Linked DNA regions of Saccharomyces cerevisiae S288C. The gene in region 3 interacts genetically with the main gene of each other region. Each region holds a gene or a part of one and is shown on either strand. Other genes may lie near its edges.

Evidence for each region. A genetic interaction does not mean that the proteins touch.
Region 1: mutations in SKY1 (region 3) and YSR3 together harm fitness more than expected from each alone (negative genetic interaction), as found in Saccharomyces cerevisiae (2 studies listed by BioGRID).
Region 2: mutations in SKY1 (region 3) and CTR1 together harm fitness more than expected from each alone (negative genetic interaction), as found in Saccharomyces cerevisiae (2 studies listed by BioGRID).

The regions. Positions count from the first base shown.
Region 1 is NC_001143.9:533,497-536,954, reverse strand, and holds YSR3 (sphinganine kinase YSR3), read left to right. Parts: upstream 1-1,673; coding exon 1,674-2,888; downstream 2,889-3,458. Other genes in the region: DYN1 (dynein heavy chain), read left to right, coding at 1-1,308. UniProt on the Saccharomyces cerevisiae protein: Dihydrosphingosine 1-phosphate phosphatase required for efficient ceramide synthesis from exogenous sphingoid bases. Involved in endocytosis and calcium-mediated signaling.
Region 2 is NC_001148.4:784,477-787,998, reverse strand, and holds CTR1 (high-affinity Cu transporter CTR1), read right to left. Parts: upstream 1,792-3,522; coding exon 571-1,791; downstream 1-570. Other genes in the region: YLH47 (Ylh47p), read right to left, coding at 1-38; AXL1 (Axl1p), read right to left, coding at 2,328-3,522. UniProt on the Saccharomyces cerevisiae protein: High-affinity copper transporter of plasma membrane that mediates copper uptake under low copper conditions.
Region 3 is NC_001145.3:698,311-702,984, forward strand, and holds SKY1 (serine/threonine protein kinase SKY1), read right to left. Parts: upstream 2,730-4,674; coding exon 501-2,729; downstream 1-500. Other genes in the region: GAS3 (putative 1,3-beta-glucanosyltransferase), read left to right, coding at 1-60; GUA1 (GMP synthase (glutamine-hydrolyzing)), read left to right, coding at 3,480-4,674. UniProt on the Saccharomyces cerevisiae protein: Constitutively active kinase, specifically and sequentially phosphorylates serine/arginine (SR)-type shuttling mRNA binding proteins in their RS dipeptide repeats.

The sequences.
Region 1 (3,458 bases), on a different chromosome or scaffold from region 3:
ATTAAGAAATCTAGGGAAACAAGAGCAGCTAGGACACGGGTAGATGAAATTCTTTGGCTATTATATCAAGAAGTATATTGTCAATTCTCCACCGCTCTTGACAAAAAATTTAAAATGATTATGGCTATGACGATGTTTTGTTTGTATAAATTCGACATTGAAAGTGAACAATATAAAGAGGCAGTTCTAACTATGATTGGAGTTCTCTCTGAAAGTAGCGATGGCGTACCAAAACTAACCGTAGATACAAATAATGATTTGCGGTACTTATGGGACTATGTTACAACCAAATCGTATATATCTGCGTTGAACTGGTTCAAAAATGAGTTTTTTGTTGATGAGTGGAATATCGCGGATGTGGTAGCCAATTCCGAGAACAACTATTTTACAATGGCAAGCGAGCGAGATGTTGATGGCACATTCAAATTAATCGAATTGGCGAAAGCCTCGAAGGAATCGTTAAAAATCATCCCGCTAGGGTCTATAGAAAATCTAAACTATGCTCAAGAGGAAATATCAAAATCTAAGATAGAAGGTGGTTGGATATTATTACAAAACATACAAATGTCGCTATCATGGGTGAAAACGTATCTGCACAAGCATGTTGAGGAGACAAAGGCGGCAGAAGAACATGAGAAATTCAAAATGTTCATGACATGCCATTTGACTGGTGATAAACTACCTGCCCCATTGCTACAAAGAACTGATAGATTTGTGTATGAGGATATCCCAGGTATACTAGATACCGTCAAAGATCTATGGGGTTCTCAATTTTTCACTGGTAAAATTTCAGGAGTATGGAGCGTGTATTGTACCTTCCTATTGTCATGGTTTCATGCCTTGATCACTGCCAGGACCCGATTGGTTCCTCATGGGTTTTCCAAGAAGTATTACTTTAATGATTGCGACTTTCAATTTGCCTCAGTGTATTTAGAGAATGTATTAGCCACCAATTCTACCAACAACATTCCTTGGGCACAAGTGCGAGATCACATAGCTACGATCGTATACGGAGGAAAGATCGATGAAGAGAAAGACCTTGAAGTGGTCGCTAAACTTTGTGCGCACGTATTCTGCGGCTCGGACAATTTGCAGATCGTTCCTGGGGTACGAATCCCACAGCCTCTTCTTCAACAAAGTGAAGAAGAGGAACGGGCAAGGCTTACTGCCATACTGTCTAATACGATTGAGCCTGCAGATTCACTCAGTTCATGGCTTCAATTGCCAAGGGAATCTATTTTGAATTACGAACGTCTTCAGGCTAAAGAGGTGGCTAGCTCAACTGAACAACTTCTTCAAGAAATGTAGCCTTTTCAGGTACGCGTGTCTTGCTTGTCCGCGGTTTTCTCAGTGGACGTGCCTATTCTGGGTTCCTCTTGTTTGATGAGACTCTGATATCTACAATCCAAAAAAATCGGTTGTAGGAAGATGGCGTGCTTCTAATTAAAGTAACGTGGGGACTCTTATTTAGATACTTCCTAACTACGAGCACGTACGTCTAGAATTCATGTTATATAACATAATGATTTTTCCTTATTTTCTTAGTTTTTATCAGCCTTGCCTTGGCTTCCTTCTCAACATCTAGTTGAATTGATAACATGACAAAAAGAAGTTAGGCAGTGGTAGTCTTCAAAAAAATATACAAAATAGCAAGCCTGTAAAAGAATTTAATTATGACCATTATTCAGACGGTTACTGAATTGGGTGTTACCGAGGACACCATTAAGGTTCAGATGGCTCCTTCCGGCGGCAAACACCTATTGGCAGATCCCGGTAATCATCCAGCGGAGCATTTTGAGAGCCAGATGTCGTGGCTAAGGTTTCAAACAAGGCAGTATCTAACTAGATTCACAGACAACCAATCAGATTTCGTACATTCTTTACAAAAAAAGCACAGAACGCCTTTTAGAGACGTTTATTTCAAATACACTTCGCTTATGGGTTCCCACATGTTTTATGTTATCGTGCTTCCCATGCCTGTGTGGCTTGGATACCGCGATTTAACACGGGACATGATCTACGTTCTTGGTTATTCAATTTATTTGAGTGGCTACTTAAAGGATTATTGGTGCCTACCAAGGCCAAAATCACCGCCAGTTGACAGAATCACACTAAGTGAATACACTACGAAAGAATATGGTGCACCCAGTTCACATTCTGCTAACGCTACTGCGGTAAGTCTATTATTCTTTTGGAGAATATGTTTATCTGACACACTGGTATGGCCAACAAAGCTTCTTTTACTGAGTCTGGTGATATTTTACTACTTAACCCTGGTTTTTGGTAGAGTTTACTGCGGTATGCATGGTATGCTGGATTTATTTAGCGGCGCCGCAGTTGGAGCTATCTGTTTTTTTATAAGAATCTGGGTGGTGCATGCTTTACGAAATTTCCAGATTGGTGAACATCTCTGGTTTCCCCTTTTGAGTGTAGCATGGGGCTTGTTTATTCTGTTTAACCACGTCAGGCCCATTGATGAATGTCCTTGTTTCGAAGATAGCGTAGCGTTCATTGGCGTAGTCAGTGGGCTGGATTGCAGCGACTGGTTAACCGAAAGATACGGATGGAACCTTGTATGTAGTAGGTACGCATCATGTGGTTCTAAGGTGTTCTTGAGGCCTCTGGTAGGTGTCGCTTCTGTGATTGTTTGGAAAGACGTCATTAGCAAGACAGCTGTCTACACGCTGTTAATTAAACTACTCAGATTTCACGATGATAGAAGCGAAAAGGTTCATTTCCATAACGAGACAAGTGAAGAAGAAGAGTGTTTATTGTACAGCGGTGTTTCCAAAGTGGAAATCGTCGGAAGGTTTCTCATATACGCAGGTATACCTACAACCGTCTTTTTGCTATGCCCAGTTTTTTTCACTTGGACAAACTTAAGGTAGACTCTCGTATGTATGCATTTAGTGACTTATACATATATATTGTATCTACATAACACATCATTGAAATTCACCCCGATGAGTACATATTTGGAATTCAGCATTTTTTTTTTCTCGCTTTTGATAGCCAGCCCATCTATGGTGCTTACTAATGTATAGAGAGGATATAACAATGAAAAATCAAGATTTCAGGCATGAGTCAAGACTTTAGCTCTTTTATATACCTTCAGGATGTTCGTACCATGCGTCGCAGGCCCTAGATCGGCGTTTTGGGTTTTACACATGCATGTTTGCCGTGGTTCACCCTCTTTTAACCCACAGGAATCGCTACTTTGACACCCCCGATCGTGTCTCTTTTCGGTATTTTGGCACCCTTTCTTGAATGAGAGCATGGCGAAGACTGAAAGGCAAGAACACCCTGCTATCTTTTGCCTACCATTGGCGAACGTCATCTTATCTAAGTAGTAAGCTGTATATAAAGATATTTGGAGGTTTTATTGGAATCTCATAGAATTTTCACTTTATCAGAGGTTTATTGACGAAGACTTTCGTGAGAAGTACAAAGTGAAGAAG
Region 2 (3,522 bases), on a different chromosome or scaffold from region 3:
ATTGCTCTCTTGATTGGCAAAGACCTGTATTTCAGCATTGTGTCTTGTTGATTTCTTTATGAAATTTTCTTTACTCGAACCTAAATATCACTGGCAAAATACTTTCAATTCGACAAGTGTTACTTTATGCAGTTATCTTGTTATTTCGAAAATTGCCACTTTGCCAATTAGATGAGACTGACACGATCTGAATAATGTCCTCTTTCAAATAAAAGTGGAAAATGTTCGCGCGGAAGCAATTCTGTCCAACGAGAAAAAAGAAACGTGGGAGACAACGGTAACTCGATGAAGGCAAGCAAGTATCATTTTTAACACTTCACTCTTATTATTGCAAGGTGGTAATATAGTTAAGGATTTTTGAATTAAAATTACTTAGACATTCAACTATATACAAGTCTGTTATTTATAGGAAGGTCGCTGTGTCTATTATTTTCTTTCCTCTTCATGAGGGCATTAGAAGTATCCATTTTGAGATTTTTTTTGAGCTTCTGAGAAATGAACGATATTCTTATTTTGATGTATAGAGATATTGGAAGAAGAAGATATAGGTGGACGAACCTTGTCTAGTTATTAGTTATGAGTGAATTTTTCGGCCGGAAGTAAGTTTTGATCCATATTCCCGGACTGTTCCTGCAACTTGGAATTCTCAAGGATGTCGCGCTCTATGTTTGCTTGATTCTTTCCTGAGTCTGTGGCACAATTACATCCCTCTTCTTGTGTAGGTGTTTTCTTTTGATTATTTTCGGAAATCGCAACTTTAGATTCGTTGTTCTTTTCCAGGCGAGTACTTTGATCACTTCCGGAAGTGGTATCGGCAACAGCAATTGGATCAGGGCTGGGTTCGGGATGTCTACCACATTGGCAGTTACCGAAGCCAGGACAGCTCTTCGCTTTCTGAATTTCTCTTTGGATGTCCCACCTCTTTAGCATGGCTATTTTGCATCTATTGAAGAAGACTTCCGATAAAGCTAACCCAGTAATTACAGCAAAAACGTATGTTAAAACAAAAGACATGGTAGCAAGCATCAACATATAAATAATCATCGTAGAGGTAAATACTAAGAACGCCCTTATAATGTCATGAAAGAGATCCATTAAAGATGGAACAAATATATCGCTTAATAAATTTGGCAGCTTAGGTAAACCTTGAATTTCAAAATTATTCTCTGTGTCATAATGTTTTCCTTCGTCTTTGGAGTTTGCTGAAGGTAAAGTGGAATATTTATTTTGCTTGTCCCATTTTTTAAACCAGTGAACTTCAAGGCACCAACTAACGAAAAGCAGTAGTTTGTAGACGAAAGCAGCCACAACAAATAATAAGAAAATACCGAAAGCCTTACCACTATTGTTTGCATGCAAATGGTGAAACAAAACTGGATAGTTTTTATATGTGGGAGTCAGATAATAGTTCATTCCCATACTCATGTCCATATCCATCCCTGAAGAGCTACTGTTATCAGACGATGACATACCTGACATGCCTGACATGCTAGAATCAGAAGTTGTCTGTGCACTGGCGGAGCTTGTTGGTGTACTGCTCATCGACATAGACATACCTGACATTGAACTGCTTCCCATCGACATACTTGCCATTGACGACATAGTCGACGCCAACGTTTTGCTCGCACTGGACATCGCTTCCATGCTCATCGATGACATGCTCGATAATATCGTTTTGCTGGCACTAGACATCGCATCCATGCTCATCGACGCCATACTCGATGCTACTGTCTTGGATGCACTAGACATGGCGTCCATATTCATGCTGCTACCCATATTCATACCTTCCATTTTGAATGTCAAATATAATACACTTTTTTTTATTTTCTATTCGATTCTTCCAACAAATGTAATTTGAGTCGCCGCCGAACTATTACTCCACCTGTTTAAGTTTGTGCTTAAAAGTTTTGTTATGCAAATAAAGCTATGGAGTAGTTGTTTATTAAGAGCACACTGCGTATCTGTTTTACTAATGTGAACTAATCATAAGAGGAATAAAACATACAAGACCCTCTCGAGATGACAATACAACATTTTTTATGTTGCATTTTGTAGCCCGAATCTTGAAAAGTGCTCTTTTCAGGATCGTGCCATTTTTGCTCATTTTACCGTCGTCTTGAGCAAATATCCCATGATTTGCATCAATACATGAGAACATAACCACAGTAACGAATAGTTGAGGTGCAGTTTCGATCCTTAAAAATTACTGAATAATTCATATGCTATTTAGGGAAGTATTTACGTATCGGTTTGTAGTATAGTAGGGAAATGTGCCAAGTTGCTTAGATAACAAAAACGTGGAAAGGCTGGAACGAGCAAAATACGGTTCAAAATGCGGCCTTGCGGAAAAAGTTTGGTTCAGGAAGCTCCTGAAGAGGAACAATCGGACTTGTGTCGTTGTTCCAAAATTTTTCTATTTCTTGTCCTTCACCATCTTGGGAAGAAAACCCTAATATAGAGCCGTATCTCTGCTTAAGATTCATTCCGATGATTTTCAATATTTCCTGCAATACAACGGTTCCGAGCTTGAAAACTTCATTTCTCCTACGAAAATAAGTAAAAAGGTTCTTTACAAGTAAAATAGGATTTCCCTTTGAATGTTCGACAATTTTCTTCAAGTCTTCATTTTTTATGGCGAATCCGTTTATTTTCAGAAAGGCCTCTAGCTGAAGGAACATTTTCCTGCTTGCAATTTCCTTCTCTGCCATTGGACTTGTGATCATTATTGATAGCTTACTTCTTTGAGCGGAATATATAGAGATTTTGGACTCGAAGAATGCTAAATATTTCTTTAGAGTTAATTTTTGCAAAAATGAGATATCAATCATTTCATGATCTTCTTGAAAATTAAGCCTTCCTTCCGCAATTTTATTTCTTACCTTCCTATGTTGTCTCATTTGTTTATTGTTGAGAGTGTAATTATCACCATTTTGCACATTTGCCACTATCTCATTTAATAGGTCTACAGGACCAGCCGACCCTTCAAACTGTTTCGTACTGTTCTGTTTTAAAAGATTTAAGAACGGCTCTAGAAGTATCCTTCGAAAATCAAACTCGGTGAATCTATTTAGCACCTGCAGCTGCAAGTAAGATAAGTACTCATTGATCCTAGTTTCCAGATTGTGCCCCGAGCTGCCAGACATTACGGTTATATGAATCCCAACAGTGTCTGTTAAAACCCTGAGTCCTCCCAAAACAATGTACCCAATTTGCTTTTTATTTCTTAGATCAGGCACTAGCGTTAGTGAAAATAGATATTCGGTAAGAAAGGTTAGTGTCAGATTTTTGATGTCATCTCTTTGTGCAGTCTGAATAAAATACACAATACTATTGTTGGGATCATCCTGGTGACCATTATATGATATAAAGGCATTTGTGCCTTGATCTAGATCTTTTGTACTGGGAGGAGGGTAGAGACGTATGGTCGGTTTGCTCCCTTCATTGCTGATTTTTAGGTGCTGCGTAAAATTGTTATTTAAGTAACGGTTGATTGCGTCAGCATATTCAAGGCTTCCCTGCATG
Region 3 (4,674 bases):
TCCTTTAGTCAGTCTGGATACCTTGCATTATTTGCAGGTCTGATTTCTGCTCTACTCTGAGCTGCTCATGTATTTTTTTGAAACATCCATGGACTTGTTTTCGTTTTCAACCGTTTTATTTTTTTGTGTTCTTTTATCTTAACATATGTAAAACAATTTATATGTTTTTAAATAGTAAACTTTTCATCAAAAACGCTTAGGTATCACACCCATCATCCTTCACCAGGACAACCATTGGGTGCAAAAAATAAAATCAAAAAATGTCGAGTATGGATTCAAAAACCGCTAAAGATAAAAGAAAGGAGAATCAGCATAATCTTTTGTTGTTACTTCAGAATATTATACTAGGTGTTACAAATTTACTTTGGTAAAAAAAAAAAAAAAAATTGCAAAAAAACTACTGAAAAATAAACAACTGAGCAGAGAACTAAAGTATGCAAAAAAGAGGTTAAACAGAAAAAAAAGTAAAAGGCAAGGGCAAAATAAAGGTATAAAGGTAATCAATGTCTTTTATGATCGCGGACTTCTTCAAACCATCCGGGGATATCGGAACCACTCCCGTACAACTCTCTATCAGGTACCCGAATCTCTTCCATACCCAAGGTATCCTTGAGCCATGGATGGTTAACCAAGCCACCTGCATCAGCTCTTTTCCTTGGGTCTAGCTGTAACATAGGCGACAAAAAATCAGATATTTCCTTGGCTTCGTCCTTAGAAAACTTATATTTTTCAGTTAAAACATCTTCTAAGGGCCAAAATTTCAATTTCGAGATATTTCTTAAAAGCCCTCTTGAATTGAAGAAAGTTCTTGTATATTTGCCGTTCCTCAAAAGGTATGATGGTAATTCTCCCAATAACTCGATGATTTGTGCAATATGGTCATCATCCTTAGTGTAGGAATGACCTTCGTCCGGTTCGAAAAGAAAATCTCCGGTAATCAATTCAAAAATTAGACAAGCAGTAGACCATATATCTGCACCACAACCCCAAGGGGCGCCTAGTAACACCTCTGGTGATCTGTATTCTCTTGTCTGTATAGAATTCGTGTAATGTTCGTCATACCAACAAGCATTACCTAAATCAGCAATCTTGATCTGAATCAAATTTTCTGGGGAGTTGATATCGGTACTGACGTTTGAATTTGAATCCATAGTATTAGAAATATATGGACCATTTGTATCGGAGCTTTGTGATATATTGGAAATATCAAATGTAGATAAAGAGTCTGCCAGCTGCTCTTCATGCAAAGGTGTGTTCATTATGTCCTCGTTATTATTGTTGTTACTGTTGTTATTGTTGTTATTTTTATTTTTACTATTATCATTATTGTTGTTATCATTACTGTCTTCATTTATGAACATCCTGGTCACAGAATGTGGTACTGAATTTAAGAAACTATTGTTGCTATTCTTAATGCCTATGCCATTATTAATACTGTTATTATTGATGGAAGATGGAATGTTCCTATTCCCAGATACGGAGGAAAAGCTATTGTGACTACTACCACAAAAGTGCGCCCTCATTTCAAAGAAATTTGATGAACTAATTGGGGAAGGTAATGGTTGCGACCCTGTGATAATTGTATGACGTCTAGGTCTTCTAAAGCATCTTTTTGACAAGTCCTTCTCTATAGAACGAGATTTGGAATTTGAGCTTGAGCCGCAGGGCATACTTGTTTGGCATTCTGCCCATTTCTCATCACTGCTATCGTTCGCGGTAATATCAGAAGACCGCGAAACGTGCCTCTGCAACCTTTTTGCCTCTCTCTTCTGTTTATCCAGTGCCTCGACCATTTGAACGATACCCTCAACATCTCCAATCTCCATCAACACGTTTTCTGGTTTAATATCTGTGTGTATAATACCACACCGCCTATGCATGTAATCAAGACCAAGCAGTAACTGCTTCGATATTTGCTTGACATAAATCAATGGAATGCCCCTATGTTCATACTTCTTTATCAAAGCCAGTAAGTTCTCGCCGAGGACTTCAAATACCATAACCACATGGACGCCATTGGGGCCCTTATGGTTGAAATGATCTAGCAATTTCAAAATATGATTAGCCCCCATGGAATCCTCCTTTGTATTATCGGCGTCATTCACTCTTTGCAAAAGCTTAATTTCGTCTTCAGCAGCTTCTGTGTAAACTTTGTCGCCCCGAACAATCTTCATAGCAACGTGAGTGTTGTTTACCATATCCTTTGCCAACCAAACGGTGGAGAAGTGGCCCCATCCCAGCTTTCTTACTAAAATGTAGCGTGCATCCTTATAGGGCTCGCCCTTAAAGGCAGGGTGGTACCCACCCGGCCTGTAATCTTTCAAAGACTCTTCGTTCCTTTCGTCACATGATGAGATAGAGGAATCTGAATCCAAATCTGAGTCTGATTGTGGCCCCGAATCCGATTGGATGGACACATGCGATTCAACGCCGCTATCTGGTTTTTTCTTAATGCTCTTTGTAGAAAAATCTTCTGTCTTCGAGGAAGTATCCTCTTGTACAGTACCGTTGGCACTAGAGGATGACTTGGAAGTCTGCAAGGCCAAAGACAGTTTAGACTTCGTTGGAGCAGGCGCCTTCTTCATCATGTTATAATCCCTTTGAAAGAAATTCTTCTTCGCTTCCTGCGAGCTTGTTGCTTCCTCACATGAAATGCTCGCATCCGTACTAGTGTCAGCCAAATGAGCGCTTTTAGTCACAAACCCAGGATAGTTAATTGATGAACCCATTAATGTCTACACTTCTTCTTTACTCTATCTCTTCAACCTCAAAAGGGGGTGTCTATTTATACCAAAAAACACAATTATTTCTCAGCGCCAGGTGATCTAACAATTTTGAATCAGTTTTCCAATCTCTATTAACTTGCCAGCTACAAATAGATCCCTCTATATCCTGTGACTTCTCTATAGCTCTTTCATAGCCCACACTCATTGTTTATTCTCTTTCAAATAAATAACGACGATAAGATTTAGAAAAATAGAAAAAGAAATTAGAAAAAAATCCGGAAATAATATAGGCTCGTCCGTAACGATTTAATATCACGTGGATAGTGATATAATTATGAGGTGTTGCCAAATAGAACCTTTAATTATGTTTAACAGCGAAAAAACAAGGTTGTCAAGTAGCCGACTCATTTCTTCGTGACGTTGGTGACAGGAATATGCTTTCATCCTCTCGCTCCCCTACAATGGCTTCGGTTCCCGACATTTTGACTCTTTTCATGCCGTCATTTCTTTTTCTTGCTTGCAGGAAATGAAAATTTTTTTTTTCTTTGGCGATGAGCATCGAGAAAAAATATTTCTTTTTTTTATCATTTTTTCAGTTTCATTTTCATTTCACAGTTATAAAACATTAGTTGAGTTATAGTTTCGGTCACGGTAGTCTCTAATTAGCTTGCGTTCGTTGTAGTTTAACTTCCCTGGGTCATTTGGTAGGTAATATCTATATTCTAAAATAAACTAACGACATCAATATTCACAATGGCTGCCGGTGAACAAGTTTCTAACATGTTTGACACTATCTTAGTGTTAGACTTTGGTTCTCAATACTCTCATTTGATTACCAGAAGATTAAGAGAGTTTAACATCTATGCTGAGATGTTGCCATGCACTCAGAAGATCTCTGAGTTGGGCTGGACTCCAAAGGGTGTCATTCTTTCTGGTGGTCCATATTCCGTATACGCTGAAGACGCTCCACACGTAGACCATGCTATCTTTGATTTGAACGTTCCAATCCTGGGTATCTGTTACGGTATGCAAGAATTGGCTTGGATTAATGGTAAACAAGTTGGTCGTGGTGACAAGAGAGAGTACGGTCCTGCCACTTTGAAGGTGATTGACGATTCCAACTCTCTATTCAAAGGTATGAACGACTCTACTGTCTGGATGTCTCACGGTGATAAATTGCACGGCTTGCCAACTGGTTACAAGACCATTGCCACCTCCGATAACTCCCCATACTGTGGTATTGTCCACGAAACTAAGCCAATCTATGGTATTCAATTCCACCCAGAAGTTACACATTCTACCCAAGGTAAGACTCTTTTGAAAAACTTCGCCGTTGATTTGTGTCACGCTAAGCAAAACTGGACTATGGAAAACTTTATCGACACTGAAATAAACAGAATCAGAAAACTGGTCGGTCCAACTGCTGAAGTCATTGGTGCTGTTTCCGGTGGTGTTGATTCTACTGTTGCATCCAAATTGATGACAGAAGCCATCGGTGATAGATTCCATGCCATCTTGGTCGATAACGGTGTTTTGAGATTAAATGAAGCTGCTAACGTTAAAAAGACCCTTGTCGAAGGTTTAGGTATCAACTTGATGGTTGTCGATGCTTCCGAAGAATTTTTAAGTAAATTGAAGGGTGTCACTGACCCAGAAAAGAAGAGAAAGATTATTGGTAACACATTTATCCACGTCTTTGAAAGAGAAGCTGAAAAAATTAAGCCAAAAGATGGTAAGGAGATTCAATTCCTGTTACAAGGTACTCTTTATCCAGATGTCATCGAATCCATTTCTTTCAAAGGTCCTTCTCAAACCATTAAAACTCATCACAACGTCGGTGGTTTACTAGAGAACATGAAATTAAAGCTAATTGAACCATTGAGAGAACTGTTCAAAGACGAAGTCAGGCATCTAGGTGAATTATTAGGAATCCCTCATGATCTAGTCT